Linked DNA regions of Rhinolophus ferrumequinum. The protein of the gene in region 2 binds, or shares a complex with, the protein of the main gene of each other region. Links are inferred from orthologs where the notes say so. Each region holds a gene or a part of one and is shown on either strand. Other genes may lie near its edges.

Region 1 (7,438 bases), on a different chromosome or scaffold from region 2:
TCTCACCATCCCTGGTCACTCTTGAATTTGTAGGCAGCTGCAAGTATGTGGCACAGGGAGCCTCCTGCTTTGAAATCTAGGAAACATTTGATCTACAAAATTGAGACAGGGAAGAAGTATATGACAGTTACATCCACAATTCTCTTGTTACTTAACAACCCTTTCACAAACCCCGTGCCATTGTATCATGTGGCCTGGGAGAGGGGAGAGAAGAAACCAATGTTCACAAAGCCACCTTGTGCCAAGCACTTACTGGGTTACCTCACTGACCATTACAGAAACCCTACAAGGTAGGTATACTAATCCCATCTAAAGATGAAGGAACCGAGACCCAAAAGGTTTAACCCAAGATCACAGAGACACCAATTGGCAGAGCCAGGATTTGAACACAAACCTGTGTAAATTCAAATCTCATATCCTTTTAATCATAACACAATAGTTTCATGCACTGACCTGACACTCTGAGATAATCTGTTGTACAAAGTATTACTAAAACAAAGGGAGTGGTAAGTTGGGGACTAGACCAAGGCAGTAATGCGCTGACCAAGGATAGAGATGCTAAAAACTTTACCCAAATATCAAAAAATCATGAAATTTACAAAACACTCCCTCCCCAGTTTGGAGGATTCCCCCCTTGCTTTTGCACTCACCGGCAGTTTGGTTAACGGTGCGTTGCTGACATGTTTGCCAAAAACTTCTTCCTGAAATTGTAGCAACTGTACAACCAGGCTAGACAGAGACTTGTTGGTGGGTGGTTCAGCTTGTATATACTGGGGAAAAGAGAGAAAGAAAAGAAAAATAGACCCCAGAAAAACTGTCCACCATTTCCCTTATTACTTTCCCAGGAGCTCTGGAAGCATCTGGGGCAGAGAAAATTGTATCTTCTTCCCCCACATGTCAAGTTTCTATAACGAAAATGGTAGAAGGGAGGCCCTCTACGCCCCTCACCAGGAAGTTACAATTCTGCTGCCTCCAGCCCAGGCTACCAGTGTTGGGTGCTGGGGACAAGGGGGGGCCTTGGCTACACCCTGAAATTGGAGTTGCAGGACCCTAACTCTCTAGCCAAAAGCACTGAGGGTTGTAAAATCCTGAAGATTCGACAGGCAATGAAAGCAATACCTCTGAGGCTCTAAGCAAGACAATAGTGTATTTCTTGGGGTAACATTGTGGAAGTCCAAGATTCCCCCTATAATGTGGCCTAATAAGAAAGGTGCACGGAAACGAGGTAGGGAAAACAGACTGAGAGAGGGAGCTTGGGCAAACAGAGAGGGAGCTTGTGCATTCCGCTTCTGCTAGGAACAGGGCACAAATGTCTTTGCAGGTCCTCCTAAACGACAAGGACCAGCTACTACTTAGCCTAGTGGGAAAGAGCAAGACAACACCTGTCTTTTCTGAGGAAACCTTATCTGAGACAAGTAACCCTGGGCCTTCTTAAACATTTCCATAGTATGCTACCTAGCATCCTAGCCTTCTAATTAAAAACTGAGCCAGGACGCTAACTTTCTCTTTGCCTTTTGAACCGTTTCCTGAACCCTAATCACAGAGAAGAGTGCTCTTCTCAGTGCAAGGTGTAAAGAGATCCTTGAAGGAAAAGGTAAACGACGAAGCTCAGAGCTTGAAAGCTGAACCAGGTCACAGGCTGTCACTCCCCTAAGGGCCAGAGACTAAGCCCCTAGACTGATCTCCCTTCCAAAAGGTCAAAGGTAGAAGCCTGGGAACCAGAGCCTCAAACTGGGGTGCAGACAAGCCACAGACCCAGCAGCTATTTGTCAGGATCCTGACACCCAGAGAGACCTCTGAGAGCTCATAACCAAGAACAGAGGGGCATTCTCCTAAACCACTCATCACACTTCTGACAGGCTGCAAAGCTGGGCAGGAAGAACTGGGGAGCTGAAGGAAAGCCAGAAACAGAATCCCTCTCAGGGTAGTGAGAAGGAAGTGAGGCAGACCATCTCCAGAGAAAAACCATATGTTTAGATGTTCCTTTCAACAAGGCCTAATGACAAAGACAACACCAGGAAAAGGTTCGGTAAAAAAGATAGGCAAGGCTTCTTGAACTCTTTGTTCACTACCTTATTATCTCCAGTTATGGTGCTGGGGGCTAGAGGTATAAAGAGTGCCCTAGCCTCTGAACCCCCAACCAAGGCAATTCAAGACCAGGTGGAGGGAGACTGCATTGTGCAACTGAGGAATGGTTTAAGAAGGGGTCTCTGCCAAGGAACTCCTATACCCTGGCTCCCAAAGAGGATTTCTTGTCGCTTGGCTGGAGGTGGGGACGAATGGCAGACAGGTGATCTCAGGGTGGGGGCCTTTTTCAGGCAGATGGAGCAGCCAAGGGCCTGCTCTGTGGCTGTTAACCCTCCTGCTTTCATCATCTCTCTCTGAACGTACACAAAGCACCAGGGAGGCCTCAGCCCTGCTGGTACCTGGCTCCGTGAGGGGCTCTGGCGGGCACCGTGGCGGGCACGCTGATTGGGGGGGATCGACACCGGGTCCACCGCTGGCCATCTCTCCCGGAAAAGCCCGGAAGGCGATAGCTCAGGGAAGGGTGGGCTGCTGGCACCGAGACCGGCCGGGGCAGTGAAGAAAAACAAGGGGCAGAGGGCGCAGCATTTCTCCGGAATCCCAGGCCGGAGGGGGGGCCGGTGAGAGGCTGGAGGAGGGGCGCAGGCCGGAGGGCGCGGTGGGGGCTGCTCCCGAGACCGCGGAGGAGGGGCTGCGGGCCGCGGGCCGCCAGAGGGTGGGCAGGATCCCGGGGCGCTGCGGGGCCGCGGTCCCTTTGTCCCGCCCCCGGTCTCTGCGCAGCCTGCCCGCGTACCTTCTTGTAGTTCTTGCCGAGCCAGAGCCGCACGTTGTCGAACTGGGTCACGGTGTCCGCGGCCTCGTAGTACTTCACGTTGGGGCCGCCGTCCTTCTTCCGCACCGCCATCTTCTCGGGCTCGGGCCCCGCCGCCGCCGCCCGCCCCGCTCAGCTCAGCTCCCGCCTCCTCCACCTCCTCCTCCGCCCGCCTCCCGCCGCCTCCCGCCGCCACGGCAGCCGCCTCCCGCCGCCCTGGCCGGCCCCGGCCCGCGCAGCGCCCCCTGCTGGCCGGCAGGGGGCGGCGGCGGCGGAGCGCAGGGCGCAGGACCGACCCTGGCGGCCTCCCCGGCGGCGGCGGCGGAGGGAGCCTTGGCGAGGTGTCTGCTTCCTGGAGGGGGCGCCCACTCTCCTGAGACCGCTCTTGACCTGACGTGGAATCTTCTTCCTTTTTGCCTCTCTGCTCGGGAAGTGGCACCTGTATCTTATCCTAATGGGATGCCCATCGTCTGAGGCATCCCCCACTCCAAGTGGTCGTCACCTTGCACATTCCTAACCCCACGGACCTCCTAATCCCAAGGAATCCCCTTTCCCCAAGATGTTTCGTCCTCGTCCTTCCTTCCAACTCCAGGAGTTCCCAGTTTAAACCCTAAGTTTTCTTCACCTTTAATTCCTTGTCCCAGCACTCCTTTTCACTCCTTAACTCGAGGAGTCCCCTAGCCGCCACCCTCGGGGCCCAGCCCCTTCCCTCCAAGTGCTTCCTCTGCAGGTCTCGCCATCACCTCCTAAATAGCTTTGCACTCCTTGAGACCCGTCTCTTTTCCTTTGAGTGGCGTAGAGAGAGGTAAGGAGCGGGGGCTGGGGGGGTCACAAGATGTTATATATGTATTGGTCTGTGGCTATGGGTATGTGGAAACGGCACGGCTTCCCCGCAATGCCGATTCCTGCTGTAAGTGTGAGGAGAAGAGCGGTTTTGGAAGTCACGGTGGCCGAGTGGTTAAGGCGTTGGACTCGAAATCCAATGGGGTTTCCCCGCACAGGTTCGAATCCTGTTCGTGACGTTAGCTTTTTCCGGGGCTCCGCCGCGCTACCACTTCAGGAAGTATAAAGGGAATCCCTGGTTTTCGCACGTGCCTTTCGTGCACTTTCCTTTCTGTCTGGGAAAGAAAAGCCAGAAGATCTCAAGATTTCACCTTTGGATTTGGGGGGGGGGGGGATGAGGGTGATCACGGAAGCTTAATTATGCACAACCTTATAGGCTGCTAGAATACAAGGCAATTTCAGACTTGTAGCTTTGGCATACATTGTTTCATGCTTTTGGGAGGGAATAGCAAAGGATTTGGTTGAAGAAGGGTTAAGTTTTGTTTGGGTATGTAAATGCCTGTTGTGCTATAAAAGTCAAAACTGGCGTTTCCAGGAAAAGAGGGCACCTCTGGATTTCATGACCAGAAGTCACATCTTGTAGGTCTGATTACAAATGAAGACCCAAGAAACAGGGCATTCTCTCATTTGGATTTCCTCGAGGAGATGCACCTCAGGTACAGAGCTAGGGAGAGTAACCTACTGAAACCAACACTGCAGATCCAGCTGGAGCTAGTGTGGGAAGATAATTATCACTTTTTATTGAGTCCTCATTATGTGTCAGGTAGTTAACCAAGCTAGAGAATTAATCCCTTCTCTAACCTGTCACGCTGCTATACTCACTTCCCGTGGTTCTTCCTACCCACAATTTCTGATTGTGGGGATATCTAGGACACTTGTGGAGGATGTTCTTTTTGTATTTCATTTTTTGTACAGCAGCATCTTCTCCAAAAAGAATCCCCAAAGGACAGGGGGTTCAAGGGTAATTCATAGAGCTTTCTAAACATTTACACTTTGGAATTTCCCGCCTTCATACCATTGCTCACGCTGTTCTTTCCAAGGTCACCCTCACCACTGTCTCCTTCCCCCCCTCCAATCCACAGAATGATCACTTTCCATTTGCACATCCTTTTACCCCTTCTCTTTGAGGCTCTTGATTACTCCAGCTGGAACCTATCAGGCTACCACCACCATCCACTAGATTGCATGCAAGTCATCTCCTTTGACACGCCTCTGCAAAAATTAAAATAAAAACAAATTATGTTCTACCTCTTAAATATGTTCAAGTCTCTCCACTTTTCTCAGGAGTGAGTGCAGACTGGACCACTTGCTGGAGCCTTTATGTGGAAAATAGGGGTCACTGTGAGGACTACAGAAGTTAATATATGCAAAGCTCCACTAAAGCATGCCCGAGACCTTCAACTTTTCCATAGCTGCTTTTGGTGTTTCATGACCTGGTCTCTTTTCTCTCACCACTCTTCCATATTCTCTACATTCCACCCATGGCAATCTTTTAATTCCTACTGTAGTATTTGTTCATGCTGTTCTCTGCCTGCAATAATTTTGCTCATCCTCACCTTCTACTCAGTCTCCACTTAAATGTTGGTTCTCCTGGGAAGCCTTCTCTAACCACCTGTCACTCACCACATCCTACGCCCTAATCTTACTATGTGAAGTCTTTCTTCCCCTGTAGATGTAAATTCTTGGCACATATAACCTCCTCAATAAAAAAATAATTTTGTTGAGTAAATAGATGTTTTTACAGTATTTATATGTACTTGTTTTAATCTTCACTCAGACTGGACTCTAAGCTTCTTGGGAATTAGGACTGTGTGTTTTATTTGTTTGTATCTCCTGTACTAGGTCTTATATAGATGTGATCAAATATGTACTGTAATAGAATCTTACTAGCTCAGTGCTCAGCTTTCTACCATCCAATTTTGCACACGCTCTCAGATTTAAATATCTGGAGAGCCAAGACCAACAAGGACCAGCAGAGGGCAACCGACAACTATGTTGTGAAAGGAAGAAGGCTCCACGGTTTACAAAATGGAGGATCTGAACTGAGAAGGAGAACAGAAACAGACAGAGGTGGTTTGGTATTTGGGAGATACTACCTTTTGCTCTCAAATGCTTCCCTTGTAATTTTAGAGGACTAGAGGCCACGGCGTTGGACTTTCATGAACAGTAGATAATTTCCAATTTTCACTATATCCACAGCCCACCCCAACTCCCCGATTCTTTCATCCTTCCCCTTCCATCCAGACAAATCCTCTTTCTTTGTGTTGCACGATCAGGCCCACCTCTCTCTCACCATTCTTACATATTTATTACGTTCTACCCACTGGTATTCTTCAGTTTCTGATTCAGTATTTGGCCTTGCTCATCTGTCTGCCCTTAAATAACCTTCTTCGTCTAGGCTTGCAATCCCACTCATTTCAACCTCCTAGGGAACCTTCCATAAATAAACCTTCCATAACACATTCAAATTCTACTCCACTGAATCAATCCTTATTTCAGAACAAACAAAACTACACTTTCACTTGACACTTCCAAAAATTTTCTACCTCCTTTCTTGAATGAAATGTATACCCTCTGCCTCCAGCTCCATACTATCTTAATACCCCAAGGTAGAAACCTTTGCTGTTTGAAACCATTGATTTCTTAATGGATTTCAGAGACATTGTATTCATTGTTTTTCTCTTAGAACACCTTCTCCATCTCATTTGCTTTCTCCCTCTTCCTGTGGAATTCTACTAAAACTTCATTCTTTTCCCTCTTCCCAAGAAAAAAATCCCAAGCCACTGTTCCAGGCATGGCCTCCCAGCCAAACCATGGTCCTCTATCTCCAACTGCCTATATGTCTACATAGCTGACCTAATGTCACCTAAAACACAAACAAAACTTCTCTTCCTTTCCCAGAATCGCATTCTCAATCTTTTCCATTTATGCTACTATTCATAATTCCATCTAGTTTCCAACCTTAAGAAATATCTGACATTTTTTCCTCCAGTGGCCTTCTAAGTGCCCCAGTTTCGCCACACTTAAATCTCTAAAAACACTGCTTTCTTCATATTATTCCCATGTCCAGGAACTTCAGCGCCCCATCTGATTAAATACATGCTCCAATTATCAATACACCCTGCCTAAATCACTTTTTTTTTTTTAATCCTTAATTCTTCCCAGTAAGAGACCCCAATCTAATCAGGTGCTAGCTTAATTCCTTCTTTCATGAAGCTGCTTCTGTCTACCTCATAACCAGAGACTAGCTAATCCCACCGTAAACTGATCAAAGCTACAAATTCTCAGATCTTAATCAGAATTGCTTTTATGTAACTAAAAGGCTAATGGGGGAGAAACTAACACGCAAGAATTTAACATAATCCCAAATTGTTGACTTGTTCCAAATGCTAAGAGGCTTGGATCTCTGTAGTTTATCCAGTAAAGCAAATCATTAGAGGACTTGAGCTAAAATGATCTCAACTGACACTTGTTTCAGGAATGCTGTCATTGTACAAAACATTTCTGGAACTCCTTCACAGCTAGTTTATGAGCCACATTTAAATGATTCATTACTTCAAAATTACTTTTTTAAAAAGCTGATGCATTAGCCAAGTTTATCATTTATCTATTTTCCAGATTTTGTTCTAGATTACTCCTGGAATTCTCCCAGGTCTCCTTCTTAGGCTTCTTCCTGTTCTTTCCTTTAATGTTTATATTCCTAGAATTTCTTGATCACCTCTGGGCAGGTAACTCCTAAAGCCACATCTTTAACCCTAA
Region 2 (7,057 bases):
TTTCACAGATGACTCCATCAGGGAGCAGGGAAGGCCCAGGGCAGGCTGGGCCTGAGGGCCCTGGGAGGGGCTCTGGCTAAAGGCCAGGCCTGGGTGGGGACCAGGCCCCTGGCTGCTGCCCAGAAGAGCACACAGGGCCCAGCCCCTCCCTTCTGCCTCTGAGCCTCACTTCAGGGGCTGATCACCTCGGGCTGGTCACCTCGTGGGGGGACCTTCCCTGACTGCCCTTTAAGGAGCTCCCTCCTTCCTAAGGAAACCTGCTGCTTTCCTTCATAGGCCATCAGACTTTGTTCTCTGCTCTCTTGTTTGAGGTGTGTCTCAGGGATCACACCTGCTTTATTCAGGGTGTTACTCAAAACTGTTCGGTGCTGTTGTGTTCTGGAAGCATGCCTGGCTGGTTGGTGCTGGTGCGTAGGATGCAGGAGCAATGTGATCCAGGAGGTTTGGCTCTTGGCTGTGCCCTTGCTGTGTGATCCTGGCTGGGTTGCCTCCCCTCTCTGAGCAGGAAAGCTACAGCTGTTATGGTAGAGGATGGAGGAAGTCATGGCAGGCTTCCTGGAGAGGGCAGCCTGAGAGCTAGCCTTGAAAGCTGAGGTCAAGTTAGGCAGCAGGCAGAGGAATGGCAAGCCCAGTCCCTCCCAGAACCTCAGGAATCCTGAGGTCCAAAATCTCCTCTTGAGACCATCCTGGGAGCAGAGGAGGAAGCAAGGGAAAGAAGTGGCAGAAAAGAACAGGCTTGGAGCCTCAGGACCCATTTCATTACTGACTAAGGGCTGGTGGTTGTTCTCTCTGGGCCTCAGGAGATAAGAGCTGGCTGGGGTGGGAGGAATTTAGACTTTGGAGCAGCCTTTGGACCCAGTCCCTGGGGGCACTTCAGGGGACACTTTACCCAGGGAGGGGCAGTGTGAGGCCTGGTAGGGGGTGGGGGACTGGGCCTAGAGTCCTTCACACTGGACTCTGGGCCTGGGTGTCTCACCAGTCCTGCCTCAGTTTCCTCATCTGTAAAAAGAGTGTGTTTGCTGGAAATGTTTCATCCCTTCATTCAGTTACCCTTCACTGAGCACCTACTGTGTGTGTGTGGGTCTTTCTTCCACCTCTCAGCCCCACCTCAGTTTCTTCCTCTGAAAAATGGAGCTGGGGGTCCCCACCTGGTGGGGCGGCAAAGGGGCTCCAACACTCAGGGCAAGGGGACTGTTTTCCGGAAGAGGGTGAGGGAGTGGGCCTTTGGAATGGACTGTAAATGTCCCCTGGCCTGGAGGCCTTTGCAGGGTGGGGGAACCACAAAGAGAAAAAAATCACCAGAAAGGCAGGTGAAGTCCCCATTGGCTGAGCTAGTGTGGGCTGTGTGCCTGCCCCAGTGACAGCTCTGAAACTCCCTGCAAGGGCAAAGTTCCCAAGCGAAGAACCTGTTCACTTCCTCTCCCGCTGGTCTCCTCCCCCTTCCTCTGGCCTACTCCACTTCCTCTTTTCCTCCTCCCGCTTGCCTTTTCTCTGCAGCTCCTCCCCTCCTCCAAGGCTTGTGGCCCAGTGCCCACCGCCAAATACCCTCCATCTGCCTAGGGTCTTTTGTAAGGGCTGAGGAAGGACACCCAGGCACTCACTCATTCAACAAAGCAGAGCCCTGGGGTGGGTATAGTGGATGTGATGGCGACTCCGGAAGGGTTTGCTGAGGATGGACCCCCAGCTCTATTTTTCAGAGGAAGGAACTGAGGTGGGGCTGAGAAGGGAAAGAAACCGCACACACAGTAGGTGCTCAGTGAGGGGTAACTGAAAGGGGATGAAACATTCCAGCAGAGTCTGGTGGGGTAGGCTGAGTTCTAGATGCTGCCCCAGTGCAGTTGCTTTAAGTGGGGGGAGGGTGCATGTTGCAGATGCTAAAGGGCTCCCACTGAGGAGGGACCTTCTAGGCTGGGCCTTGAAGGATGCATAGGAGAGCACCAGGAAACGGCTGCTACAGATGGCCGGGATTGTCCCAGTCTCAGGTCAGGTGTCCCAGTCTTGGCCAGCCCTTGGTTTAGAAGAGGTGAGGTGGCAGCACAAGTCCTGCTTGGGGACCAGGTCTGCTCTCCACCTCGTGTCGCTTCCTGGAGCCATCCCAGAGTCTCCCATCCCATGCCCTGCAGCCCTGGTCCCAGCCTACCCAGCACCCCTCCAGGCTCAGCGAACAGCCAGAAGTAGCCTCATCAACAGGCAGCAGAAAGGGTCACCCCCTAGTCCCTGAATCACAGGGTTGGCAGGTCCCAAGGTGGCTGGCCAGATGCCCGTGACTGAGAGACACAGGCCAGGGACAGAGCAGTCTGGTCCTTGGGAAGCCGGGAGTGGACAGGCTAGGAATGTCCACCCAGGGCGGGGATGGTGACTGGGGAGCTGCAGCGAGTTTCTTGGCAGTTATCTGGGAATGCTAGCATGTGGCTCTGAGCCTGTGGGCTCTGCTGTGCACTAGGTGACGGTCACCCTTCCCACCTGGTTGTGGCCTCCACAACCTTCAGAGACCTGCCACCAGCCTCCTAGGCAGTGGGCTGGACCAAGCCACCTCTTCCCTGGACACACATTCCACTCCCATATATGGACTAATTGGTCACTGGTTACAACACTCTCTCAGTGAGCACCTATTATGTGCTGCAAAGCCCTGGGCAGGCCTGGCTGGAGACAGACCAGTGGTGACAGGTCAGTGCCCCCACCTAAACCACCTTTCCCATTCTCATTCCTGTGACAATGCAGCTTCTTGTCACCACCTCTGAGAAGGTGCATGCTCCTCTAGGCAGAGCCACACAGATGTCCCTCTGGGGTCCCACAGCCCCTGGGCTTCTGTCTGCCATACCCTGAGCACTGTTGGCCACCCTCTGGATACAGGCTCTGCCTGCCTAACTGGCAGCTCTCAAAGCAGGGAACCACCCAGAACAGGACACCCAAGTTTTGCCTAGTATCTGGAATGTCTCAGGGCAATAAAGAGTGACAAGGAGAGGGTCTCCTCTGAAGGCAGCTGCTCTTCAGCCACTGTCCCTTATGCCACGCCCCCCCAACCCTAACTCATCTCTGGCTCATTGAGTGCCTTTCCCCAGGCTTCGGGGACCTCCAGATGGTCCAGGAGGGCAGTTCAGCTGTGGCTACACATGACAGAGGATGGATGGGCTCTAGAGCTGTGCTGAGCAGTCCTGCCTGCCTACCAGTGCCCACCAGTGTCTGGCAGCTGCCCTGGACACCGGCCTAACCTCCCAGGCCTGGCCTTGTCTGGGTGTGACCAGGCAGCCCTGAGAGGTAGCCTGGCTCCATGGGAACAAGTTTCTGTGCTCTATAGAACCCACCTCTTCCCAGGCCGGCAGCAGGGAAGCCTTGGAGGCCTTTTTACAGGCAACTAACTTCCAGCCACTGGCTCCTGGGGGCCTGCCCTGTCCCTGGGGACTGTGGCCCTGAGGCCCTTGTTAAGTAGCTACAAGCCCCCTGACTCCCCCAGGCCGTATCATATTTCGCAGCTCCAGGTCTCTGAGTAGAAACGATCCCCATTTAGCAAGGTGAGCACCCCGGGCCAGAGGTACCCTAACCCAGGCTTTCTGGGTAGTTGAGCCAATGTTGGGAAGAGTGGATGGTGACTCCCTAACCACCCCTCCCCCACAACTGCTCCTTAAGCATGCGTCCACAGCAACCAGGGACCCTCGCATCTATGTTGACTCTTGTGCCCACGGGGGAGCGGGGAGCTCACGGCACATGTGACATCCACACCCGGAGGGTCCCGAGGTGGGGGACACGGAGAGACCGGCAGGCCGAGTCCAGGCCTGGCTACGCCTGGCCGGACTAAGCACTGCCCAGCGGGGCGGTGGCCCACGGCTTGCACCTTTCATCCGCGGGCCCAGCTCCTAAGAGCGGCCAACGCCAAAACTCTCTCCCTCCTCCTCTTCCTCAATCTCGCTCTCGCTCCCAGTCCATCTCTCTCTTTTTTTTTTTTTTTGCAAAAGGAGGGGAGAGGGGGTGAAAAAATGCTGCACTGTGCGGCGAGGCCGGTGAGTGAGCGGCGCGGGGCCAATCAGCGCTCGCCGTTCCGAAAGTTGCCTTTTATGGCTCGAGCGGCCGCGGCGCCGCCCTATAAAACCCGGCGGCGCGACGCGCAGCCACTGCCGAGTCCGCGTCCACCCGCCAACACAGGCCTCTCGCCTTCGCCGCTCCGCCGCCGCTGCCAGTCTACACAACCTCCAGGTAAGGCCCCAAGCCGGCAGGGCGAACTGACTGGCGCCGGGCCCCGGCCTCCCCCGGGTACACAGCGCCTCTCGCCTCGGCCCCGAGGGCAGCACTTGAGCTTGGGGAGTGGGGCTCGTGAGCCTCCCAGGTCGGGGCCGGGCTGCGCCCGGGCCGTGCGCCCAGGGTGCTACCGTCGGGGCCGCGGGCCTTCGTCGGAACGGACAATTAGCTCCATTGGGCCACCGGCTGCTAGGGTGGGTGGGTGGGTGGGCGCGGCGGGACCGCGGGCCGGGTGGGGGCTGGGGCCACCACTGATCCTGCGCGTGCGCTTTCGGGCTGGCCGCCGCGGTCGGCCGGAAGGGGTGGGTCGCCGCGGCGCCAAGGCGCATGCGCACATTTCTTGGCCGCGCCGTCGGCTCCCGCGGGTGTGGCCTCCGCGCGCCTGGTCGGCGGCGCTTTTTGAACGGGGCAGGGGCGGGGCCGGCGGCTGGGGAGGGGCTGGAGGCCTGGCTTCGTGCCGCGCGCCGCGGGGCCGTCTCTAACCAGCGTTTGCCTTTTATGGTAATAACGCGGCCGCCCCGGCTTCCTTTGTCCCCAATCTCGGCGCGCGCCGGCGCCCTCTGGCGGCTCGAAGGCGCGTTTTGCCGGAAGTGGGCAGGGCGGGGGCCGCCCCACCCGACGCGGGCTCATGGTCCCCTTTCCTCGCAGCTCGCCATGGATGACGATATCGCTGCGCTCGTGGTCGACAATGGCTCCGGCATGTGCAAGGCCGGCTTCGCGGGCGACGATGCCCCCCGGGCTGTCTTCCCCTCCATCGTGGGGCGCCCCCGGCACCAGGTAGGACGCCAGCCTCGGGTCTGACTTGGGAGGTGGGGTCTCTGAACGGGCGGAAGATGAAGTCGGCTCCTCCGCAGGGGAGGCCTTGGGCTTTCTGCGTTGGGTCGTGCCCATGCTGAGGGCGCCTTGCTCCTCCCTCCGCAGGGTGTGATGGTGGGCATGGGCCAGAAGGACTCCTACGTGGGCGACGAGGCCCAGAGTAAGAGAGGCATCCTGACCCTGAAGTATCCCATCGAGCACGGTATCGTCACCAACTGGGACGATATGGAGAAGATCTGGCATCACACCTTTTACAATGAGCTGCGTGTGGCTCCTGAGGAGCACCCTGTGCTGTTGACTGAGGCTCCCCTGAACCCCAAGGCCAACCGTGAGAAGATGACCCAGGTCAGTGCTCTACTGGCCTTCCTCGGGAAGCCACTCCTTCTTTTCTGGCCCTTCTGTGCCACGCCTTTTCTCACTTGTTCTTTCTTCTGCCATTCTCCTAGGATTTTCTTCTCTGACCTGAGTCTCCTTTGGAACTCTGCAGGTTCTATTTGCTTTTTTCCAGATGGAATCTTTTTCGTGTTTGGTTTTCTGACTAGGTGTTTAAAGTATAAAGTGCTGTGGGTGTAGGTACTAACACTGGCTCATGTGGCAAACCCAATGAGGATGGTGTGAAGTGGCCTGGGAGTGTGTATTCAGTAGGTGCACAGTAGATCTGAAAATCCCCATCTTGGGGTCCCCAGCACACTTAGCGGCGTTCCTTGCACTCTGCATGTTCCCAGTTTGGCCTGGCTGTCTGATGGCTTCCTGAGAGTGAAGTGGCCCATCTTTCCCTACAGATCATGTTCGAGACCTTCAACACTCCAGCCATGTACGTGGCCATCCAGGCTGTGCTGTCCCTGTACGCCTCTGGCCGCACCACTGGCATTGTGATGGACTCCGGTGATGGGGTCACCCACACTGTGCCCATCTACGAGGGGTACGCCCTCCCCCACGCCATCCTGCGTCTGGACCTGGCTGGCCGGGACCTGACGGACTACCTCATGAAGATCCTCACAGAGCGTGGCTACAGCTTCACCACCACAGCTGAGCGGGAAATTGTGCGTGACATCAAGGAGAAGCTCTGCTATGTCGCCCTGGACTTCGAGCAGGAGATGGCCACTGCGGCCTCCAGCTCTTCTCTGGAGAAGAGCTACGAGTTGCCTGACGGCCAGGTCATCACCATTGGCAATGAGCGGTTCCGCTGCCCCGAGGCGCTTTTCCAGCCTTCCTTCCTGGGTGAGTAAGGCTTTGACCTTGCCACCACACAATGGTCACCCTTGTGGCCACACTGGAAGCTAAGTCTGGCCTCTGTTCCCCTCAGGCATGGAATCCTGTGGCATCCATGAAACTACCTTCAACTCCATCATGAAGTGTGATGTCGACATCCGCAAGGACCTCTATGCCAACACAGTGTTGTCTGGTGGGACCACCATGTACCCAGGTATCGCCGATAGAATGCAGAAGGAGATCACCGCTCTGGCTCCCAGCACGATGAAGATTAAGGTGAGTGTCCGCGCAGCCTGTGCTGGCCTGGTCACATGGAGTGTTAGAGAGTTCCCATGCTGACTTTACTGTAGGATGCAGCCACCTGTGGTTGTCAAGGCAACCTTTCTGGGGTAACGCACAGCCCTTGGGGCTGTTCCATCAAGGTCCTTATGCTAACTGTCCTGTTCTCTCCCAGATCATTGCGCCCCCTGAGCGCAAGTACTCGGTGTGGATCGGTGGCTCTATCCTGGCCTCGCTGTCCACCTTCCAGCAGATGTGGATCAGCAAGCAGGAATACGACGAGTCCGGCCCCTCCATCGTCCACCGCAAATGCTTCTAGGCGGACTGTTACTTAGTTGGTTACACCCTTTCTTGACAACCTAACTTGCGCAGAAAACGAGATGAGATTGGCATGGCTTTATTTGTTTTTCTTTGTTTTGTTTTTTTGATTTTTTTTTTTTTTTTTTTTTTTTTTTGGCGCTTGACTCAGGATTTAAAAACTGGAACGGTGAAGGTGACAGCAGTCGGTTGGAGCGAG
Region 3 (7,239 bases), on a different chromosome or scaffold from region 2:
CAGGGTTACTGTGGGCAAGGCCAGGCTGTGGTGCTGAGAGGGGCCTGGCAGAAGGGCACCACTCAACTAGCGCCTGTCACCTGGCTGGGCGCAGACTTCCTGGTGGAGAAGGACCAGGAGTACTGTGTGTGTGAAATGCCCTGCAATCTGACCCGCTATGGCAAGGAGCTGTCCATGGTCAAGATCCCCAGCAAAGCCTCAGCCAAGTACCTGGCCAAGAAGTTCAACAAGTCTGAGCAGTACATAGGGTAAGTGCTCTGCCTGCAAGGCAGGGCCCTTGGGCTGGGCCCGCGAAGGGTGAGTGGGCTTTGATGAGGTCTGGCAGACAGGAGGAAGTTGGGTCTGAAGTGGGCGTGGAGGAAAGACCCAGGCAGAACAAGCAGGGAATGCGCCTCTTCTTCCTCCTCACCTCATGCTCTGTCTTCATCCTCCTTGCTGTAACTGGGATCACCTCACACTTACCCGTGTGCACAGCATCTTTTCATATCCGCCATCACATTTAATCTTCACAACAACCCTAGAAGGCAGGTACCCCCATCAGCATCTCATGTGATGGATCTGAAGACAGAGATTCAGAGAGGATAATTTACCAAGGTCACCTAGCTAGCAAGGGACAGAGATGTGACTTGAACCTAGGTCTCCTTCCCCAACCCCTTTGCAGGGAGAACATCCTGGTGCTGGACATTTTCTTTGAAGTCCTCAACTATGAGACCATCGAGCAGAAGAAGGCCTATGAGATTGCAGGGCTCCTGGGTGAGCTGCTGATGGCACCTGTTCCCTTCCCATGTCATGGGCATGGTGTGACACCCTACCACCCAAAGCAGGCTGATCACGTCTGTCCCCAGCCATCCCCAGGGGCTTTTCCCCAAATTCTGCTGTCTTGCTATGTGGTGGGGGGAAGGGGCTGAGCCTTCTTTTAGGGCAAAGTGGAAAAGATAGGCCTGTGGGCATGAACAGGGGACTATTTCATATGCCCTTTAAATTTTGCCCAGAGATTAAGAGTGTTGGGTATTTTATAAACAATTATTTTTTTCCTGAATAGTACCTATTCATTTTAGAAAAGTAGAAAAAGATGCAGAAAAGCATAAAGAAAATAAAACCCCCTCTCAGAATCTTTGCACTCCTTCTATAAAAAAGCTGTCGATCATTTTGCAATTATGACTTGCCTGCCCGTTTCAGTGAGCTCCCATGGTGTCTTGACCCCACTGACCTCCCTGTGCCCCCTCCACACAGGTGACATTGGGGGCCAGATGGGCCTGTTCATCGGGGCCAGCATTCTCACAGTGCTGGAGCTCTTTGATTACGCTTACGAGGTGAGCAGGGGCGGGACCAAAGGGGCGGGGATCCAGGCTGCCCACACACCCACCCACCACCCCACCGTGTCCCAGGTCATTAAGCACAAGCTGTGCAGACGAGGGAAGTGCCAGAAGGAGGCCAAAAGGAGCAGCGCGGACAAGGGCGTGGCCCTCAGCCTGGATGACGTCAAAAGACACGTGAGGGAGCCAGTGAGGGGTGCCCTCCGGACCCGCCCCTTACCCCACCACCCCAGGACCACCCCTCCCCCGTGCCCCAGCGCCACCTGCGGCCCTTTCCATAACCAGTTCCTGTCCTGTGCCATTCCCCCAGAACCCGTGTGAGAGCCTCCGGGGCCATCCTGCGGGGATGACGTATGCTGCCAACATCCTACCTCACCATCCGGGCCGAGGCACTTTTGAGGACTTTACCTGCTGAGCCCTGCAGGCCACTGTACCAAAGGCCTAGATGGGGAGGGCAAGGAGAGCAAGGGGGCCCTCAACTGCCCCCCACATCTGCCCTGGGGACCCACTCTCCTTCCCAAGGCAGCCCCCCCGCTCCTGGGCAGTCCTTTCCTCCTGTGTGTGGTGAGGAAGGAGGCTTGACCATAGAGTCCTCTCCCTGTCTCTATCCCTTTCTTTTTATTTTTAACAAAACTAATCTGAAAAAGAAACTGAAAAGAGAACTGGGCAAGTGACCTCAGGCTGCCCCTCTCTGCTCTATGCTGCCTCCCTCAGCTCCCAGCCTGAATTCTGTCTGTCTGGCTGTCTGTCATCTGAGTGTCCACCTACATTCTGCTGCCACCAGTCACCAAAGCCCCCTCCCAGTGGGGGGTGGAGGGGATCCTCTGGGTCTGGAATTTGACCCCAAACCAGAGAATGTACCATGAAGGGGAGGGATAGTGGTGGTGGGGGGGGCTTCCCCAGCCTTAAGAGACCCTCTCAGCCCAGTGACTACCCCCCCAACCCCAAGTCTCCAGGCAGGAACTAAGACCCTAGTACCTACCCCCCCACACACACACCATGTGAAGTCACTAGGGTGGTGGGGGTGGGGATCCCCTGAAGCAGTGGAGATGGGGACAGTGTGTGGCCCTGGTGCTGTAGGCCACATCCTGATATCTACCACCCCAGAGCTGCTGGAGAGAAATCCCAAGAGGCATCTCTCCTCTACCATCCCCTAAAAGATCCAGCTGGTTGGCTTCCAGCTCAGGGAGAGGGGCGCTGGTGCCTAATCTCACTGGTCCCTCTCCCCGGGGCCCCTGCAGAGGGCCACATCCATAAATTTTCTTATGGAACTGTCTCAAGTCCTCTTCCCCAACTTCATTTGCTTCTCTCCACAACCTCATCTGCATTTTCTATTTCTATATGATACAGACTCTATATTGCTATATCTCTGTATATACTTTCCCCTAACTGTCCGTCTCTACTCCATGCCCTCTTGTCTCTAAGAACCATCCTCCCACTCCACCCTTCCTGTGTTTCTGCTCCCTCCCTGGTTTATGAATGCCTTCGCCTGTATAAAGAGTTGGACTCTCTCCCCTGGTGTCTGTACTGTGTACACACATCCCTCTGAGAAGCACAAGGAGACGACACGCGCATTGTAACCTTCGCACTGTCTCGGTGGCGACATAAAGGAAGCTGTGAATCACAAGCTCTGCCTCTTTCTGGCCTCACCCTCTCCCCACAACCTGGGTACCCTCTGCCCCCCCTGCAGCCTTAACATCCCCTTTCTTGCTCTATCCACCCCAAAGTCCTTTGTGTGGCTGACTGTGGCCTCTCGGGGGAAGGGATTGCTACCGAGAGAGCCCCCACCCAAGGAATGGAGACCTGCTCTGCACACTAAGCCAGGGGTACCAGAAACACAGGGAGCTGTGGACCAGTGACCCCTTCAGGTAGAACAGCAAGCGCTGACAGGCAGACGCTGAGGTCCTCAGTCAGTGGCCTTTCCCTCCTGGGTGCCCAGCCCCTTTCCTAACTGGATACCCAAGCCCATCACTTACATTTTTTGGTGAGGTATGGTTTGGTAGTGGGAGGAAAGACACAGTCCTAGAGGGGAAGTTGAAAGCTCTGCTGTTCTGTCCCTCCCTAACTTAAACAGAAAGGAGTGAGATAGAGGGCCTGCCACGCCCCCTCCACCAGGCAGTTCTCCCAGGCCAGAGCCCTGTTCCTTCCCAGGCTTTCTCTGCCCAGCTGTTTCTTGGTCTCTCACCCCAGAACTGGACCTGTGGCAGGTCACCTGTGCAGGCCTGGAGCTGGAGAGTGAGGCTCTAGGATCTTTGGGAACTCTTAGTTCCTAGGAGTTCTTTAGAGAGCAGACCTCTCCAGAGGAAAGCAAGAGCAAGGCCAAGGGGTGTGCACCGGATGGAAAACAGCAGGCAGGGCTATGGGTGACGCATGCCTCTGGTCTAATAAACTGGATTTCAACCATCTCCTTTTCAGTGTCCTTCTTCTCTTATTTGAATAGTATTTAGGCGTTCCCATTAAGAGCCTAGAGCTGAGCTTGGCTTGGAGCCAAACATTCACAGGAGGAGTAAGGCTTGAGCAGGGAGACCCTGGTCGTCCTGGGATGGGACAGGCTGGACATCACACCACGAATGGTTTGAACCACTGGACAGTGAAAGAGGGAGGGGTCAAAGGCAACAAATATCCCAAAGAGAAGTCCTAGCTCAAAGGGTTCTTTGGAGTGAGGGCAGGGGCAAAATTCAAAATAAACTTAAAATCTGGAAGCAGGTTCGGTTAAAAGTCAGGGACAAAGTTGGGTTGAAGTTCTAGCGTGAGGTTAGTTACTGAGGCACTTTATCTGTGGAATGAGCCCCAGGCTACGAGCCTGAAGATCTGGATTCTAGGCTTTGACTTTACTGTTCACTTGTTGGTTGACCTTTGCCAAGTCATATACTTACTCAGTTCAGCTTTCCCATTTGTAAAATGGATTAAACAGTACGTTTTCTTCAGTCTTCCTGGCTTATAGCAGTAAGAGAAGGAAACGAAAAACAAAGCGCTTTGGAAAATTGATCGCACTACGCAAGATGAAGCAGTTATTCCACCACCCTCTTCATCAGGACGTTGGGTCTGTGGCGGTGGCACCCCTTTCCAGGGCCTGTGTTCCTCCCGTCGGCCTGGGGGCGCCCGCTCACAGGGCCTCTCTATCCCAGAGCTCGTCTCTATGGTTTTGCCTTCCCGGACCGTGAAGGCGGGAGGGAGTGGTCAGCACCCTTTTCCGCTAGTCGCCCCCCTCTAGCCCACAGTCTCGCTGCCCTGAGTCTCCCGTGCCGGCCGGCCGGCCGGGAGGACTAGCGGGCTCGTGGGGGGCCCGAGGTGGGCGGGGGGAGTTCCGGTTCCGGTTCTTTGTGCAGCTGCAGCAGCGGCTCCGGGGAAGATGGCGGCCCGGGCGGGTTTCCAGTCTGTGGCTCCGAGCGGCGGCGCCGGAGCCTCAGGAGGGGCGGGAGCGGCGGCTGCCTTGGGCCCGGGCGGGACTCCGGGGCCTCCCGTGCGAATGGGCCCGGCGCCGGGTCAAGGGCTGTACCGCTCCCCGATGCCCGGAGCGGCCTATCCGGTGAGTGGGGCGGGAGGAGGGGCGCGCGGGCCGGGGGCGGGGCCGAGCGGGGCCCTGGGAGTGACAGCGGTGGGGGGAGGAGTAGGAGGGACTCCCCGGAGAGGGATTCGGGCCCTGAATGGGGGTGGGGGAGTCAGTGAGGAGGAAGGAAGGGAGGCAGTTAGCATCCCCACCTGCTCCTAGGGGCATTGTTTCCGTGGGGAGTCAGGGTATAGAACTATGGAGGACGAAGTGGGGCGGAGGGTGGGCTGATGAGGGCTGGAATGCAAAAGGGCTTGGGCAGCTCCAGTGCCCAGAGGAACACACACAAGGTAGCTGGCAAATTGAGGTCAGCTTTCAAGGAAATAGTACCAGGTAGTACTGAGTAAATGTGGAACTAGAGGAGATAGAGGAGATGTGCAATGTGTCAGATACAAAATAGATTAGGGAGAATTTGAGTATAATCTGGCTCTTAGCTTTTGGGCTGTATTCTCTTACAGAATCATGACTGGAGCAGAGGAAGCTCCAGTTATCTGTAATTCAAAGAGGCAGAGGGCTCTTCTCCCATTGTGCTCCACTGCCCCTCTCCCCCTCCCCCAGCCTTGTTTCATTCAAAGACCTGAAGAATCCCCCCACTTTTTCTTTCTTGGTGGGTTTCGTAGGGGAAGCCATGACATCTCTGGGTCCTCTCCCCTCTGTAGAGACCAGGTATGCTGCCAGGCAGCCGAATGACACCTCAGGGACCTTCCATGGGACCCCCTGGCTACGGGGGGAACCCTTCAGTCCGACCTGGCCTGGCCCAGTCAGGGATGGACCAGTCCCGCAAGAGACCTGCGCCTCAGCAGATCCAGCAGGTCCAGCAGCAGGCGGTCCAAAATCGAAACCACAAGTAAGATGACCCCAGGGAGGAGGGGAAGGAGAGAAGGAAGGGAGGGAGGGAGCCTGTGAGAACTCAGGTGGTGGGAGTATCTGAACCAAGAAGTAGTGGTGCTGTGTCAGCCGATGGTGCTTATTCTTGAGAATGCCTCATGTTGGTTGGGGGTTTGGGGGTATGTCTTTGATTTGAGAGAAGCTTTACAGTCCTTTCACTTTACTATAAATGGAGGTGCTGACAGCCTGTCTTCATGTTCTGGCTAGTTCCATCCCAACCTGATAACAGTATTTGTTTTGAAACAGTGCAAAGAAAAAGAAGATGGCTGACAAAATTCTACCTCAAAGGGTGAGTCCAAGCTGTAGGTCTTCCTGAGGGTGTGGTGAGTTTGAGAATAGAGATGGCCAGCTCTATATCCCCATGATATCTTTCTGTTCCTAAGATTCGTGAACTGGTACCAGAATCCCAGGCCTATATGGATCTCTTGGCTTTTGAAAGGAAACTGGACCAGACTATTATGAGGAAACGGCTCGATATCCAGGAGGCCTTGAAACGACCCATCAAGGTAACGCCGGAGCGCACTAGGCAGAGAGCCAAAGGAGAGGACTTGGGAACGTTCAGTAGGCTTAGGATGAGCAATCAAAGGCACAGCACAGTTCTCCTTGGCATTTAAATTACATCTTTCCCTTCCGCCTACGAACTGAGAATTATATTAGAAGTATAAGAACAAAATAGCAAAGGGGGAGGGGCTTTTGATATCGCTTGCACCAGAAATTTACCCTGTCCGTGTTTTTGCTATAACTGCTCTACCACCTTGGGAACCTGGCACCTTGCTTGACTTTGTCCACCTGGCATCTCAGTGTATGCTCTTGCACTCAGACCAATGGCCTGTATTCCTCTTCTAGATGGAATCTTCATCCACCCACCCCAGGGACTGGGTAGACAGTGAGCCAGTCTGTTAGGAGTAATTTTGGGGCTTGGGGAGACCCTGTCTTCAACATCAAACCGTTGAAGCCCCACCATCAATCCTGTTTCTGCCTTCCTCAGCAAAAACGGAAGCTGCGAATTTTCATTTCTAACACTTTCAATCCGGCTAAGTCAGATGCCGAGGATGGGGAAGGGACGGTGGCTTCCTGGGAGCTTCGGGTAGAAGGACGGCTCCTGGAGGATGTGAGTTCAAGGTCCACTGTGGTCGGCGTCTAGGGTGGGAGCTGCTGGGGACAAACAGTGTTGTGTGGTTGGCAGGAAGCCTGACTGGTGCTCACAGCTCCTGTTGGGAACTGCAAGGAAAGGGTCACTGTATGCCCTGTGCTAAAAGACAATGGTTCTTTGTGTTGGTTCCCACAACTTGGCCCTCATTGTGGTATCACATTGAGAACCATATTGTCCTGGGATTTGATTTGTTGTTTACCTTCCTCCTGATGCTACTGGCCGTTAAATTTAGCAGTATGTGCAGATTATTCTGAGAGAAAGAGAGAGAATGAATGAATTAAAATGAATATGAATGTGTGTGTTTTAAATCAAGTGAGTTTGCACTTAGCGTT
Region 4 (7,090 bases), on a different chromosome or scaffold from region 2:
CAGATAAAAACACTTGATTGACATCTCCAACTTTATGAATCGGAAAGTGAGATGATAAAAGGAAATCCAATGTACAGAAGTCAATTTTGCCAAGTAAGGTACACCTGTAAACGCAACAGAAGTGAAAACTAGAAAAATTTAAAAGCAAGGACTCCTTAGTCCTCTTAACTGGCTAAATGTGACTCAGGACGAACAGATAGCCAAGATGAACACTGCTATGACTACAGCAAGAGAAAAAGGTTGCACACAGGACATCAAAACATTGGCCTCAATTAGAATGCTAGCTAATTGAAAAAATAACCGGCCACAAGCAACTTCCAAAATAACATAATAAAGATATATTCACTCTTCTGTTAAAAATGTTTAATGCCATAGTAATAAATGACTGCTCCTCCGCAGGGGAAAGGGGAGGCCCCATTCCCAGGATTTAGGTCCAAGGAGAGGAAACACACTTGAAACTCTTCCTCCCCACGCCCCAACAGAAGCACGATGCACAGTAGCCAGGGGCAGACAAACCAGTTTCTAAAGATAAAAACCCTCCCAGTGAAAGATAGTCATCAAACCACACAAAAAAAGACACACTATTATTAGTTACATTTCTAAAAGCTACTTCAGATTAGTGATAAGAAAAAAGGAGAGTATGTAATTGAAACGTTTTAAGAGACTTGGAAAGCCTCAAACTAAACTGACATCGAATTAAAAACAATGTAGAGTAACCCTGAGCTAGGAGGTAAGATTTTTACTCGTACTGTCACCAAAATTCCACACAGCACAAACTAGGTACCCGGTTTTCATTGAATTCAATAATTACCTACTAAATATTTACTACAAGCAAGCCTCTGTTGTACTAATGTTGATTCTTTCCTCCGGCTGCCATCTCCTTTGTCCTTCTCTTCTAATATGAGAGCATCAAGTTTTAAGGAGTCCATTGTGACCTGTTATCAGAGCTCTCAAAATAAAGACAGTTGAACTTCAGAATGGAAAAAATCTGCAGAAAGGCCTCTAGTTTTCTCATTTTCCAGTGGCCTCTAAAGCAAAGGTTTAATTATCATTTAAAACATGGCTTAAATGTTCACCACAAGGAAGAGAAGCTCAGTAAGTGTTCCTTTCTTATTGACAATCTTACTGCACCCCTATTGACAGAATTGAACAGAAACTTTCATTCCTACCGCACATGCGGGCATAAAAGTTTTAATTATCAACTCCAACATCATTCGTATTCCAGGAAAAAAAGCACTGAGAGATGTTAGCATGCTGGAGGTGAGAAGCAGCAACCGTTTTACTGGTTGAGACTGGAGTTTCATTTCAGATATTAACTCACAAAGTTGAATACACAGAGAGAAAGGAGAGCAGACAGGAAGGGGTAGCAGAAGGCTAAAGCCAAGATTATTCGGGGTCCCAATAAAGAGGTTGTTCTGCAGCTGTTTGAGAATTTGGCGTTACAAACTACTTTCTTGGGCCAGAGAAAAACTCCTTAAATTGCTGGAACTTTACCAAAATATCAATCACAGCAGCCCCTGGGACTCATTTGGTAAGGCAGGACTTGCAGGCACCGTAGCCTCTATAGACACAATACACCATGGTTCAAGCAAGTCTTGCCAAGTTTTAACCGTGGTGAGGAAAGTGTGATTATTTTGCTATATTCTTGAGGTAAATGCATTCCCTTAAAATAGTAAGGAAAACCTCTTAGAGGTTGATGGTTAGGTCAGTTTTGAAATACCAATGGGGTCATTTTTTTAAGAATAAAAATGGGGTAGGGAGAAGTATCATTTACATACGACAAAATTCACACTTTTCAGGGTCCAGGTCTAAGTTTTGACACAGGTGTATAGCTGGGTAACCACCACCATAACCAAACTACTGTCAGGTCCATTGTCAAAAGGTTAACTCTTCCAAGGCTCCTAGTAAAAGCAAAATTAAACTGTCCATATACTTTATAAATTTATTTTTGCTTTTGAAACATCACCGTCTTCATTTGGAAAAGCAAAATACCCTTCAAGTGATCCTAAATGTGTCAACACACCGCGGGCGTGAGGCCCCCCGCAGCAAGTGGCGCCCGACAGTAATCCTCTCCTTTTCCCCAAGTGGCAGTCGGAGAGGCAGAGCTGCGTCGCCAGGCTGGAGCCACGAGGAGAAAGAGTTTAATGCCGGAATGACAAACTCCAAAGCACTGAATTCTTCTCCCTAGTAGGGCACGAAGCGTGTGGAAGATGGCCAGGGCGCGTGGGAAGAAAGATGACCTATTTTCAACGACTGTTTTCATAACTGGAAAGTGAGAGAAGCAGGGGCTAGTCCTCGGGCACCCCGGGGCACCCCGGCGGGCACCTGAGATTTGGAGAGAGGAACATAAAGCCACACACAGCCTTCACCCAAGCAGCGGGGTGACGACGGGAAGAAGGAAGGAAGCGAGAGCGCGAGCCGGCCGCACGCTGAGCCGAGCCTACGAGCGCCAGGGAAAGGGGCCCGGGCCCCACCCGGTGGACGACGAGGGGCCCGGCGCTCCCTGCACCTGCCACCACCTTGGGCGGCGGGCGGAGCGGGGACCGGAGCGTTGGGCTCCAGAAGAACACGCGGGGCAGCGGCGAGTGCGCCCCCGTCCCGGCAGGGCCGGAGGGCAAAGGCCAAGCGGCACCCTCCGACCCCACCGGGTCGCCCATACCCCGCCCTCCCCTCCGGGCCCCAGGGCGCCACCGCCTAGCACACCCCAGGCCCGCAGCGGCCAGCGGAGCGCGGGCCGGACCTCGGCCGAGGGATGCCGGCCAGGGCTGGGGGCAGCCTCTCAGCGCTCGGGAACGACGGCGCGAATCTGGCCCGCGGGCCGCGCGCGCGGAGGGGCCACCGCCAGCACTCACCTGCCCGCTGGTCCCTTCGCGCAGCCGCAGCGGCACCACACTCCGGGCCAGACCCACCGTCTGCTTCAACCAAGCCCCAGGCAGCAGCGGCGGCGGCTGCGGCCGGACGGGAGGGGCGGGACCGCGGCCTGAGACGGCCCGCCGCCGCGGCCCAACCCGGCTCCGCCCGCCCCCGGGCCCCGCCCCCGGGCCGCCGCCGCCGCCGCCGCCCATTGGCCTCCGGCTCATAGGCATGGGCACGGCCCCGCCCCACCGCCCCCCTACCGTTGAGCTCGGGCTCCTCCCCGGCCATTGGGCCAGAGGGCTCCTGGGCCCGAGCGGCCGGCTCGGCCCCCGCCAGCTCAGGGGCTACAATTGGTGGGGCTACGCCACGCCCGGGCGCTGATTGGAGAGTGGGCAGCCCCGGGCCCCACCTCTCGCGTCCAAGTTCCGTTAGCAGGTTCGGTTGCTCCCGAATTTCCTTTGCCCCGGAGGCGGGAACTATGGGAGGGGTCCTCTGTCAGGCTCCTCCTCCTGAGGGGAGGGGCTGAAAGGAGACTGGCTGTTCTTTCCTCCTTTGAGAGCTCTACTTTCTTCTGATTGGTTCACAGGCGACTCCCGTCGCGTGTTTTCCGTCGCCGACGCAGCGCGATGACGTAGTTCCCCGACATCCCACGTCCAAGATGGCCGCAGTCGGCAAGGAGAGACGTAGCTAAGGGGCTTGCCTGAGGCGAGGGTGAGTGACCCACGGACCACTGGTAGCGCCGCCCACCGCCCCCGCCGCGTACCTGGAGGTCGGAGTAGGGCTTGGCCAACTGTCTCCATCCGCTGGCGGAGTCTCTCTTCCTGGATTCCGCCTCCCTCGGCTACCCCCGGTGTAGATCGAAGTTAGCGGGCGATGGCGGGACTGCGGGACGGGCTTCGGGAGAGGGTTTGAGGCGCAAGAGCGGAGGAAGGAGTCCGGCGCGTACCCTAGGAACAGGTAGCGGCTCTCTCAGAGAGGGACGGCTAGAGTTCGGGGACTTTGTAGCAGGTGGTGAGAAGGGGCAGGGGTCTTAACGCGCGCGCACATTCTGCCGCACAACCGCTGCCTACCCACATCTTCCCAACTACTTTGCAGTGTCTCGGTCCCAACCTTGGTTAGACCTGAGACTTTGGGTATTGTTCCACATCTGGCGTACTCCGGCTTTGGCGTCTGAAGAGCCATGTAACAAGGGTGGGACTAGGAATGAGGAAAAGGCACTTCCGCGATTAGATTCGTTTTTACCGAGACATCGTTCTTACCGGCCCTCTTCTGGGTTGGTTCGCTTTGTTACTAAAGGAATTGTTCTTCAGAAAGTTGAGGCGTTAGTATCGAAGTTCTCTGAAGGCTCTTCAGCTATTACCAGCACAAAGCATGGTCGGTAACGCTTCCTAAATTTGGATTGCCAGTTAAATGGAGCTTTCGCGAAATCGTCTGACGTTAGAAACTTCTGAGAGCAGTTAGCTTGCGGGTGGCCTTTTATGTTTTTAAGGTAAGCTCTAAGGCTCCTTAGAGATACTTAGCACAGTGCCTTGCAGTTGTAGGCACTCATTAAAGGTTTATGTGAATGGTATTGCTAGAATGAAAGCTCCGTGAAGTGCCTTTTGTATCCCCAGCACCTAGAGCTGAATGAAGAATGGGTGATTATAGTAGTGGTATTGGTAGACTGATCGATTTTGTTCTTCAGATGCTTTCTTGTTAAATAATCTTGACTATAAATGTAATAATTTTCCAGGATTGTGTTTTGTTTATTTTCCAATGTGACTATCAGAGGTGTCTAATTTTAGGGGGTGTTTTTTGTCTCATTGTGAATGTATTCATTTTTTTCAAACATTGCTTGATTCACGCATAAAGCATGTTTAATATTTGTTTCATTTTGAAAACATAGTTTGCACCAACAAGGAATAAAGAAACATTCTAATTGCTAAGGAGATCCTTAAACTGTAAATGCCATTTGTAAAAATTGAACATCATAAAGAAAAAAATTGATCATATTTTTGGCCTACGAAATGAGCTACAGTCATGCTACCATTTGACCCACATAACGACGTTTCGGTCAAGGATGGACCTAGTGTACAAGTGGTCCCATATATAGTGGAACTGAAAAATTCTTATCACTAGTGACATCGTAGCTATCGTAATGTGGTAGCACAAGGCATTATGGCCTTGTGGTGATGCTGGTGTAAACCTGTGCTGCCCGTTGTATGAAAGTATAGCAAATACAATTCTGTACAGTATAGTACATGATACTTGATAATAAATGACTGTTACTGGTTTATGTGCTTACTAAACTGTACTTTTTATTGCTATTTTAGAGTGTACACTGCTAAAAAAAGTTTGCTGTAAAACAGTATGCTTGTTACGCCATACATCATGTTTACTGCGTCTCTTGGTTCCATCATTTTCTCCATTGCATCCCATATCTTGATTGCATCTTTTCTCTTGTGCTTGATTTCATCTCATTTTGTACCGTAGCTTGCTGTACAGGCTTGTAGCACAGGTACAGTAGTCTATACCATATAGCCTAGGTGTGCAGTAGGCTATACAACCTCGGACTGTATAAGTGCACTCTGTGATGTTCGCACAACAACGAAATCATCTAACGACATATTTCTCAAAGCATATTCCCATCCTTAAGTAGCGTGGGACTGTAGTTCATTTCTGCAGGTTATGTTGGAAAGCAGTGAGTTCACTGAGTATCTAGAAGGTAAAAAAATGTTTTGTTTGTTTTCTCCAAAACTGGGTAAGGACAAACAAATGAAGAAGACTTAAGTTCAGGGTAATTGTGGAGATTGTTAAGAACATTTAATTGGATTAAATCTCATTTGTATATTTAGGCTCAGATAAATTATATGCCAGAGAACTTGCAGATAAGATTGTAAAATCATTGTTTATAGCTTTAGAGGAATCCTAAAAGCATAGTGAATGATAGAAGACTGGAGTCTGGTCAATGTCTCAGTTTTTGCAGAGCAATTAGATGACTGCTGGATGCTAGAACCTGTTATTAATCCATTTTAGAATCTTGTTGGGGGAGCAAAAAGAGCATTTGTGCGTATTTGGGAAAGGAGAGCTGATTCCCTCAAACCAGCAGAGCTCCAGTCCAAAAAAAGCTGGGTGACACAAACCATGTTTCCTTTTGTTATAAATGTACTAGGTTGATAGTGGGTGGGCGCTGAGTTCAGTCAGGTTTCCTTCGGGCATTGAACATAATCTCTCTTCCTATCCCAGCAGACACAGATACACGTACACTGGATGAGGTCTAATTGGATGGATTTATATCCATTCAGACTACCAAACCCAAAATGTTGATTAATGACTTGATGTCAGCCTGAATGAAGAGAGGTCTTTAGAGATAGGCTCCAGGGCTCTAGTCTTGCTCTTACTCTGGTCAGCATTTTTTTTTTTATTACCAACTTTAAATATGTAAGAGGCATGCTTCTCAAAGATAGCCAGCATGTTAGATGACACTCAGGATTCAACGAGTTCTTACAGACTGAAATAGGAGGCCCAGATAAGATACAAATTTACCAAGAATGATTAAATTTACAAAAACGTTGTTGTCCTTGTTTGACATGAGAAAGACCTAACTTGACAAAAAATGGTTCTAGGATGTAATGTTCCGTTTATAGAAACAAAGTAGGGTCCAGATTGAGGGAAGGCAGTATCTTAGTCTAATGACAAATTGTGGCTTTGCCATGTGCTAGCAGTGTGAATTAGGCAAGTTGTTTCTTGTCTCCATAGCTCTATTTTCTCAGCGATAAATTGTGAGGATAAGAAAACATAGCCTGCAGGCATGCTGCGACTCAGTGGGCCATCAGTGGCACGCTGTCTCCCTTCTCCCTTCCCCTCCGTACTATGCAGATGACATAAAGAGTATTGTTTTCCATTTTGGTTGCTATATTTAGGGGGGATCTTGAAACACTAAAAAACCATGTTGTAGAAATGGGATGTTTGTTTGCCCTGGAGAAGAGAAGGGAATGTAAAAATTGTCTTTATATATTTGAAAGGCAATTAGTAGACAAGGGAAAGGTATTTTCAAGGAGCGACAGAGAGTTGTTGAAAGGTAGAGTTCATTCATTCATTCATTATTCTGGGCCATCTATGTACCAGATCTAGGGGATGAACATAACAGATAATAGATGAATAGAACAGATGGAAGTCAATATAAAATTAATACAACAATTAATGTGAACACCAGTTATTGATACTCAGCAGTGCCATAGGCCTGCTTTGTAAA

Evidence for each region.
Region 1: ACTB (region 2) and SMARCC2 share a complex: the UniProt entries of both Homo sapiens proteins name them as parts of the BAF complex. The link is inferred for Rhinolophus ferrumequinum from reciprocal best matches to the Homo sapiens genes ACTB and SMARCC2.
Region 3: ACTB (region 2) and SMARCD1 share a complex: the UniProt entries of both Homo sapiens proteins name them as parts of the BAF complex. The link is inferred for Rhinolophus ferrumequinum from reciprocal best matches to the Homo sapiens genes ACTB and SMARCD1.
Region 4: the proteins of ACTB (region 2) and SETD3 are in contact, whole or in part, in a crystal structure (PDB 6ICT), measured with the Homo sapiens proteins. The link is inferred for Rhinolophus ferrumequinum from reciprocal best matches to the Homo sapiens genes ACTB and SETD3. Residues at the interface, in NP_001092.1 of Homo sapiens: Leu67, Lys68, Tyr69, Pro70, Ile71, Glu72, His73, Gly74, Ile75, Val76, Thr77, Asn78, Trp79, Asp80, Asp81, Met82, Lys84; in NP_115609.2 of Homo sapiens: Cys36, Ser37, Ile148, Ala151, Met152, Asn154, Ile155, Asn212, Arg215, Gln216, Val248, Val251, Met252, Thr253, Arg254, Gln255, Asn256, Gln257, Ile258, Pro259, Leu268, Ile271, Trp274, Asp275, Cys277, Ile284, Thr285, Thr286, Gly287, Tyr288.

The regions. Positions count from the first base shown.
Region 1 is NC_046293.1:55,536,450-55,543,887, forward strand, and holds the start of SMARCC2 (SWI/SNF complex subunit SMARCC2), read right to left. Parts: upstream 3,004-7,438; 5' UTR 2,930-3,003; coding exon 2,819-2,929; intron 771-2,818; coding exon 651-770; intron 93-650; coding exon 7-92; intron 1-6. UniProt on the Homo sapiens protein: Involved in transcriptional activation and repression of select genes by chromatin remodeling (alteration of DNA-nucleosome topology).
Region 2 is NC_046307.1:41,580,533-41,587,589, forward strand, and holds the start of ACTB (actin, cytoplasmic 1), read left to right. Parts: upstream 1-4,057; 5' UTR 4,058-4,078; coding exon of another isoform or gene 4,079-4,221; intron 4,222-4,472; coding exon of another isoform or gene 4,473-4,863; exon of another isoform or gene 4,864-4,875; intron 4,876-4,881; 5' UTR 4,882-4,887; coding exon 4,888-5,010; intron 5,011-5,154; coding exon 5,155-5,394; intron 5,395-5,831; coding exon 5,832-6,270; intron 6,271-6,355; coding exon 6,356-6,537; intron 6,538-6,715; coding exon 6,716-6,859; 3' UTR 6,860-7,057. Other genes in the region: translation initiation factor IF-2-like, read right to left, coding at 4,079-4,221, 4,473-4,863. UniProt on the Homo sapiens protein: Actin is a highly conserved protein that polymerizes to produce filaments that form cross-linked networks in the cytoplasm of cells.
Region 3 is NC_046293.1:50,883,438-50,890,676, forward strand, and holds the start of SMARCD1 (SWI/SNF-related matrix-associated actin-dependent regulator of chromatin subfamily D member 1), read left to right. Parts: upstream 1-4,220; 5' UTR 4,221-4,668; coding exon 4,669-4,845; intron 4,846-5,525; coding exon 5,526-5,713; intron 5,714-6,000; coding exon 6,001-6,043; intron 6,044-6,137; coding exon 6,138-6,260; intron 6,261-6,742; coding exon 6,743-6,865; intron 6,866-7,239. Other genes in the region: ASIC1 (acid-sensing ion channel 1), read left to right, coding at 95-248, 662-753, 1,234-1,313, 1,389-1,493, 1,627-1,731. UniProt on the Homo sapiens protein: Involved in transcriptional activation and repression of select genes by chromatin remodeling (alteration of DNA-nucleosome topology).
Region 4 is NC_046289.1:4,747,609-4,754,698, reverse strand, and holds the start of SETD3 (actin-histidine N-methyltransferase), read right to left. Parts: upstream 3,007-7,090; 5' UTR 2,853-3,006; intron 1-2,852. UniProt on the Homo sapiens protein: Protein-histidine N-methyltransferase that specifically mediates 3-methylhistidine (tele-methylhistidine) methylation of actin at 'His-73'. Histidine methylation of actin is required for smooth muscle contraction of the laboring uterus during delivery.